2 linked regions of the Drosophila melanogaster genome follow. The protein of the gene in region 2 interacts with the protein of the main gene of each other region in a pairwise test. Each region holds a gene or a part of one and is shown on either strand. Other genes may lie near its edges.

Evidence for each region.
Region 1: the proteins of CG13196 (region 2) and CG5866 interact in a two-hybrid assay, tested with the Drosophila melanogaster proteins (one large-scale study listed by BioGRID).

What each region holds. Positions count from the first base shown.
Region 1 is NT_033777.3:17,413,899-17,417,123, reverse strand, and holds CG5866 (uncharacterized protein), read right to left. Parts: upstream 1,386-3,225; 5' UTR 1,379-1,385; coding exon 769-1,378; intron 712-768; coding exon 650-711; 3' UTR 619-649; downstream 1-618. Other genes in the region: CG42822 (uncharacterized protein), read right to left, coding at 2,725-2,735, 2,798-2,950, 3,018-3,192.
Region 2 is NT_033778.4:11,683,534-11,688,478, forward strand, and holds CG13196 (uncharacterized protein), read right to left. Parts: upstream 2,902-4,945; 5' UTR 2,882-2,901; coding exon 2,526-2,881; intron 2,410-2,525; coding exon 1,807-2,409; intron 1,747-1,806; coding exon 1,574-1,746; intron 1,513-1,573; coding exon 977-1,512; 3' UTR 632-976; downstream 1-631. Other genes in the region: buffy, read left to right, coding at 3,928-4,203, 4,280-4,426, 4,487-4,795, 4,857-4,945.

The DNA of each region.
Region 1 (3,225 bases), on a different chromosome or scaffold from region 2:
CAATACTAGATTAGTTTAAAACAGCAAATTTTCAATCATTTTGTAGTATATATTTTGTTGATCGTGCCAACATTTCCGTCCGTCCGTCCATTATGTATGCAGAATAGGATCTATATCTGAAGCCAGACTTCAACGACTGATGGGTATCTAATAGTCGAGAAAATCGACTAAGGCGTTTATTCTTAAATGGCAACGAGTAATGGGTATCTAATAGTCGAGAAAATCTACTAAGGCATTTAATATTGATTGTTTTGTAATGCATTTTAATTTGTTATCTATTTAATAAGTTACAGTTGTTTCGATTGGCATAAAATGGCCCTGATATTAATATGAGGAGGACCTGAGGGGAGGCTAGCCTTTTTTGTTTTATATATATGGTAAATGATACCATATCTTTAAATACCTTCTATCTTTAAAGATTTAAAAGATCTAGGCTTCCGAATATAGGTTTATGCATAAGATTATCATACATAGGACAACCAGATTTATGTAAATAGTACACACAACACCGACAACAACAAAATTATTTCATTTGACAATATTATATTTCAGAAAAAGAAAACAATACAACTTAGGATATTATATTAGATATTTATATCTATATTTATATAAATATTTATATTTATATTTAGTTATCTTGAGCTTAGAATTAGTGGGCCCTGTAAGCGCTGGGCAGACGATGGCATTCGTGATGACCGATGTGTCTCAAAACTGCAATTAAACAATAATATCATTTGTGAAAATGTTTTAGATATGTTTATAACCAACCTGGCTTAAGTTCATTGCGACGCAGGCAGTTCAAAACGGCCAGTGCGCAGGAGTTCTCCACCCTGTAGCAGAGATGACCATCGGTGGCATAAGCTGGACTATGAACCCTGGGGCAATGGATGGTGGCGTGGCAGTTGCGATGATGATGAACACCATGAGTTCCGTGATATGGTGCCTCCAGATGGTTGTGGTGGATTGGATGCTGATGGTGGGATCCATGAACTTCTTGAAATGGTGCCTCGAGTTGTTGGTTAGGATGTGAACCATGATAGTGGTGCTGAGGGGATCCGTGGATAGGATCATGCGATTCAGACAACTGATGATGATGGTGGGGCTCAGATAGGTGATGGTGCCCTTCTAGGTGATAATGGGGTCCGTGCTCGTGAGGATGCGATTGAAATTGATACAGATGTACTCGTTGATGTTGATGTTCTTTTCCTGCAGACAATGACTCGTTAGGAACGATTTGATGCACTGAAGCATCTTCGACAGGCAGATATCCTTTCTGGGGAACCTTCGCTTCTAAGATAATAATATCCGATCTGCGCAGAAAGGATCCTTGGGCAAGGACCATCCAAGCACTCAGCAAGAAAACGAAACGCAGAGCCATATTTTCTTCAACTGATGCTGATTCACAGGAACCTTTTCGGTTTTATACCCAGAGCACAATAGAAACCGAGTCCAATAATTTAAACTTAATAAGAAACCCATTTTAATTAGAAATTAATTAAAAGATAAGCACCGCAATAGCATCACTAGTGGGCAGCTAATTAAATAATATAAATACTCTCAAGCAGGGCATAAATCACAACCTTGTGGTATATGCAGGCTAGGAACGTTCAACTCGGGAGTTTCTTTACCTAGAGCTCTGAATTCTAAACCCTCAGGTCAACCCGAGTTGACTGAACCCATTCGCATGCTTACATCTTTACAAATGGTCTTAAATATAATGGTCTTTTAATATTTTTATTTTGATTTTGCCCTATAATTCTCAACTGATTCTAGTAAAGACTGTGTGACTGGACGTGTAGTTTAGAGTCACGGAATATTAAAAGTAAACTATTTTACAATGTGTGTATTTAACAGGTGTGATTACTTGGAAACGACTAATGTTAGGTATACAAGTGTTTTAACTGTTATGTACCTAAAACTTATTTTAAAATGTGTGACCCAAAATATAAATAATCTCATAAACTGGAATTGTGACCATATTTCTTCAGCTTTTTATTCACGTTTCATATTAAAATAAAATGTTAAGTTCCTGTTAAGAAAGGGATCACTGAAGAAGATATATATCTATTTAGATTTATTTGTTTACAAAGTGCTACTAAATCTATCTCGCGGACTTCACAAATAATATGTAAGTAATTAAGCTACTGTATTATTCTGTTGTAATTATATTAGTTAATTGAAGTTAGGTAATTGTAACTCTAAAACCCCAAAGCAAACGTCACGTGGTCAACAGAAGTGGATAATTTTAGTGAATTATATTGGACATGCATGGAGTTACGCTTTTCTATCTTTAATTAGTTTAAATAATATTTAATATAATATAATAAGATACGAAATATGTGCTATTCCATTAATAGGATGAATAATATTTATACTGAGCCATATATTATATAAATGTACATTTTTATATAACACAAACAAAATGAAATTTATACGGATTACATATTTATAATATTATGTTAAAGCGAATTTTAAAAATTATTATTATTAAACAATAGTTTTTTACCATATCTTTTAAACTGGGTGTGACTAAAACACTTTTATATTATTCAGCGCACTCGCTTGATTTCTACGTGACTTGTTGGCTGTTTGTTACGCAAACACGACTTCGATATTTGGTTTCATGCTTGAGGCCCCAAAGAGCCCTAATAGATAAAAACAACTAATAGATTTAGGTGTAAAAGTTCATTTACTTTCGTTCACGCTTAAAACATTCTGCGTGGCTTACAAAAAAGCTGTAAAATTGAATAAAGGGAAATAAGTCAACTGTAATATCTAAACATGTAGTTTAACTCACTCTGGCCAGTACGACAGGTGTGAGCCCGTTTTTCACATTCGTTACCAAAGTTTAGGACTTCGCCCTTGTAGATTCCAGTTGTGGGCTGGTAGATGGCTGTACAAATGTCGGCGCATTGCTTCTGACACTCCCTCTTTGTCGTTATGGTCAAGGCTTTTATATAATCAACATAATATTCGTTTGATTAATTCTTATTAAGTTGTAATAAGAAACTGCTCACCTGGCTTTCGATGGCAGTTCTCCTTGTCGAAATAACACTTATTCCGGAAAACATTGCAACCTCCTCCAAGAGCCCAAACAACTTCCTCCGTATCCGGACATTCGCCTGAACAGTTACCCCTAACTTGGCTCAAAGCCACACACAGCAAAAGGCAAATATATAGAGAGAAATTCATGTTTAAAGGCCTCGAAGTTTTGGAATGAACTGA
Region 2 (4,945 bases):
GCGCAACAAATTTCATTTGGCAGCCACGAAAAACTGCAAATGAAATGTATTTGAACTAGTTAAAAGTTACGGAAGTAGTAATAGAATATTTAAATATAAAAAATCACACAACAAAGTCTTTGTTTATTTATTTATTTTTTTTCAACTATTTAAGTTAGAAGAATCTCACGATGACCATTTTATCACAATGCCACCCAGCTAGCAAACAAATTCCGAAATACCTATGTATGTATGTATCTCCTGAAGCCCCAATGGGTAATTAACTTGTAACTCTAGACTTTTGGCCACCCATCGAGCAAAAGCGGCTGAAATCAACGGCTAATTGGCTGCGATTTTCATGCCCATTAAGCGCCAACTGTCAGCCAGCCAGATGGATGGATTATCATATACGAAAACCGTCAACAAATTGCACCAAATAACAAAGCCAAAAACCGAAATCGACTGTGAACGAGGTTTCATTAGCCGCGCTCGAAGCGTGAAAACGTGATAAAATTTCGGTTTAGGCCACAACTATCTGGCCATAACTAAATCACAGATTGCAATTTGCGAACTAAGCGCGCAGTTTGGAAATCGGTTTGCCTACTGGCTTTTTGAGCTATCTATCGTACACTTGTTTTTTGTTTTTTTTTTTAAGATTTTATTCTCAGGTCCGCTCAATCACTGGCGACATGAACATAAATTACATTTTATTAAGTGCTAATTTCTGTTTTAATCTCGAAATGGGCAAACATTGGCTCGTTGTTGATTTCGCAGTGGCGATAAGTCAATTTACTTGGCAGCCAGATAGATAAAAGTCACTTCAAGATTGGCGCCTCAGATACAGATACGATTGCTATTGATGGCGTTTTGTGACTGCTTTTAATGGATGGGTAAGCAGGGAAACCACTTATACACAAATTAGATAAGGATTTCTGTCTTAAAAGGGGTATATTCATGTAGTTAGAAATAATGGAAAGAAATTAAGATTCAAATTGAACTATTTTCCAAATTTATACAATGCCACAACAGCAACACCCATTAGCATCACCACAAATCCCAAACTTCCAAAGAGAGCTAAAGATTTGGATGTCTCCCTGATACCGGAATCTCCAATCTCAATATCCCGATCCTTTGGAGACACATCCTCTTCACCGGGCATCAGCACGCGGAAGGTGAGATGCGAGAGTTCCGAGACTTCGGTGCTATTGCCGTGCGAAACGTTCCGTCGCCTCCGTTGGCCCACCGATGGCAAACAATCTTGGGCCGTCACCTGGCAATCCTCGCGTTCCAAGCAGCCAGTGATGCGCATGGATATGACCAGAACCTCCCCACTTCGCATCCCAGGGAACATGACCGCCTTGAAGTGCAGTCTCTGGCCAAGCGGAGGTTCCAGAATGGGTGGATGGGCGCAGATAGCCTGCATGGCGGGATTTAGACAGCCCCTCGAACTGACCAACTGAACCGTGTTAAGGATCTCTCCACCGGTTGCAATCCTCTGGAGCTGAACATCACTGAGTTTGGTGTAGTTCCAGCCTGGAAAGATACAAGGCCATATCTTTTAAGCCTTTAGGCATTTAATCGTAAGGTGACATACCATCTCCGGCCAGAACGTGGGCTCTTAGAAGGAGCTCTTCGCCCAACTGGACGGCACCGTTGTTTTCCAAATGACGCGTGTATCCAGTGCTTCCTTTTCTCAGCAACTCCACGTGGGTGCGGAAAGCATTTTGATCGCCTCCATGGGCGTAGCTACCTCCACTGCGAGCTTGTCTGAAAGAGGAAATTTTAGATTTCAAAAACATCCAATCTCTAATAGAAATCCTATCCTACACATCATTGGCCACGCCCATTTTCAGGGCATGCGTTTTGACAGCCACTCGCTCTTGAGCCTTGCAGTGTAGGGTTAAGATCGAATCTCCGCTGGTTCTTAACCCTCTGATGGCGGGGAATCGCAAACGCAGACAAAGATCCTGGCCACAGGATCTCACACCACACCGCTCAAAATTCTCGCCAGAAATGTCCAAGAGCAGAAAACTTCGAGACAGCCTCAATTCACAGCGTTTATCCTGCTGATCATCATTGTCCTGGTCCACAGTCGGTGCTGCACCCAAAAAGCTGTCCAACTTGAGAACAGCTCGAAAGTAACCCGCCGAAAGGCAACGCATGTCCTTTAGCCGCAGTCTCAGTTGATTTTGATCCTGGTTTCCATCACTGGGTGGCAGGTAAACGGGAGCAGGAGTGGATGGTTTTTGGGGGAATACTGGAACAGCCACTGGGGCATGATAGTCGTAGCCTGGCGAATGTATCGTCTCAACATCGTCTCCAGGATCTTGTACAATTATGGGTCTCGAAGTAGTGGTAGTGGTGGGTGTGGAGGTGGTTATGATGCTTCCTCCAGGTTGGGGATAGTAGTAAGCTGGATAAGACTCCTCGCTTTAAAAAATGATGCGGGTTTAAATGGTTTGGCAAAAAATGTATCTTAAAAAGGCTATAGTTATAGATAGGATCGTTAGGATCTGAACTATGTATCTTTGAGATTGGTAACCCACCTTGGTTTGGGGCTTTCGTAGTTGGGACGCTCGTCCACAGCTGGCGGTAGATAGTGCTGACTCAGAGGTATAAAGTTGCCATGTCCCGATCCCTGAATCTTCACACTGCGATTTTCAATGATCTCCGGCAGACTAAACTCGGTGGTGGCCACAGGAGCCACTGGGGCAGGAGTTATGGGAGCAGCAGGCGGAGGTCCATACAGGTTCGAAGGCGATAGTCCCACTTGGAATGGCACTTGGCCATGCAGATAGTTTCCGTAGTGTTCCAATGGCGAAGCGAAGAAATGCGACACATCCGCGTGGGTCTGGTGGATAGTTAGCAATCCAAATAGGGCTATGATCCGCTTGGTTGACATATTGACCAATAACTGACTGATTGGGCCGCAAGTGATATGGTTTTTATAAGCTGAGGCGTTTGGGCGTGACTCCTATGGCCTGGATTAATTTAAGGCCAAATTATTCTGGAACCTCACACTTTCTCAGCTATCACTTTTAATGGTCGGGTCCCCAAAAAAAAAAAAAATGCCACACGACTTCGATGTACTCAACAGACTTTCCATGGTCACGAATGGGTCTTGAGTGGGTCAGGTTATGTAAAGCTAATTGCGAAGTGCTCTCCGGGGAATAAGTAGCCAAGTTCCAAAGTTGCATCTTCGATTCACTTGCCGCACCACCAGCTCCAGTCAGATTGTCCCACAAATCACTTGCCATTTGACATCTCGCTTGTGGACAACTAATGACAACAGCTGCGACACAGCAGCATTTTGGCCATATTGCGGATTTCTGATCGCTGTTAGCCAGAAGCCAATCAAACCTAACGAGCCGACAATCTGTCCGTTAATGTGCCCATTTTGGGCAGGCTCAAACAAACAGTCATCGCAGAGCGTCATAATGGAAACTAAACAGGGGGAAACATTGTTCCTAAGCACATTTTTGGGAAATCATAGTTAGTTAATATCAAATGTTCGATCAATATACAAGAACTAAACAGGTTTATTCAGATCAAAATATAATGGCTTATAAAGAATCCATCTAAATGTTCGTTATAATAATAACGCATATCTTTTATGATATATTATATATGTTTTTGAGCCACGTTTATGGTCTTTCAATCAGCTAAACATGACATTTATATAGTGAGCCAATTATTTTTGATGTAACTGTGCGACTGAATGACTGGTTTTCCATTCAGCTGGCTACGATTCCCAGCGGAAGATTTGCCAAATTGAATGCAATTTATTAAATTAACAACACACTCCATTTTCCAATCTTCGTGGGGGGGATTGTTAGAAACTTAAACTGGATCCTCAGCCAGTTGATATATGACTTAAGTCTCGCCACCTCTTGCCATACTTATAGGCGATTTCCCTCAGGATCTCGAACGATATCGGTTGCGCGAAACATGCCCGGCACCTCGTATCCCACGAATAACGATAATTTCAGCAACGGATTTCCGATGGCCACCACACAAAGTGAGCGCCTCTTGCAGGCCCAGAATCGAAGAAAGTTCAGTTTTCCAGCCACACTACATTCCGCATCACTACTGGAGGTTGGTGGTGGTCCCAAGGAGACCACGAGGCGTAGGTTGAGTAATGTCAGCGATGCCGTCACCAGGAAACTCTCCTACACGATTGGCTGGAAGGCGGCACAGATTCCAGCGCAGGATATCATTTCTCAGGTGAGCTGGTAGACGAGGAATTCCTTGCACAAACATATAATATCGCCTGATTCCAAAAATCATAAAAAAACCGAAGGGTCGTTGCCTGTGCGGTCATTATATCAAGAGACGCCTCAGAAGATCTGGTTTGTTCAACAAAAAGCTGGGACTGCAGCGCATACGTAGCATACTGGGCTCCACCTCCATGGGCATTGTGCGCGATGTGTTTCCAGCGGTCCAAGTGGTAAGCAAAAAATAACGCTTTATTTTATTATATTAATCATTTTACACACCTTTGCCCAAGCTGGGCGATGAACTGGAGCGCATGCATCCCCGGATATACAACGGAGTAGCTCGTCAGATTTGCCGGAATCCGGGTGGTGAGTTCCATACTCCGGATGCTGTGAGCTTGCTTTTGGGAGCCGTTGGTCGCGAGCTCTTCCGGGTGGAGATTACGTGGAGCAAGGTGATCTCTCTGTTCGCCATCGCCGGTGGGCTGTCCGTTGATTGTGTACGCCAAGGACATCCGGAATACTTGCCCAAGTTGATGGAGAGCGTTTCCGAGGTGATCGAAGATGAGCTGGTTCCGTGGATTAACGAGAATGGTGGTTGGGTGAGTTTCTCCGATCATTTCATAATTGTCGAGGTTTCATTTCAATGATTTTCCATTTTAGAGTGGCATCAACACACACGTTTTACCCACTACCAACAGCCTGAATCCTTTAGAGTGGACCACTTTGGTTATAGGCGTAGTTTTTGGCCT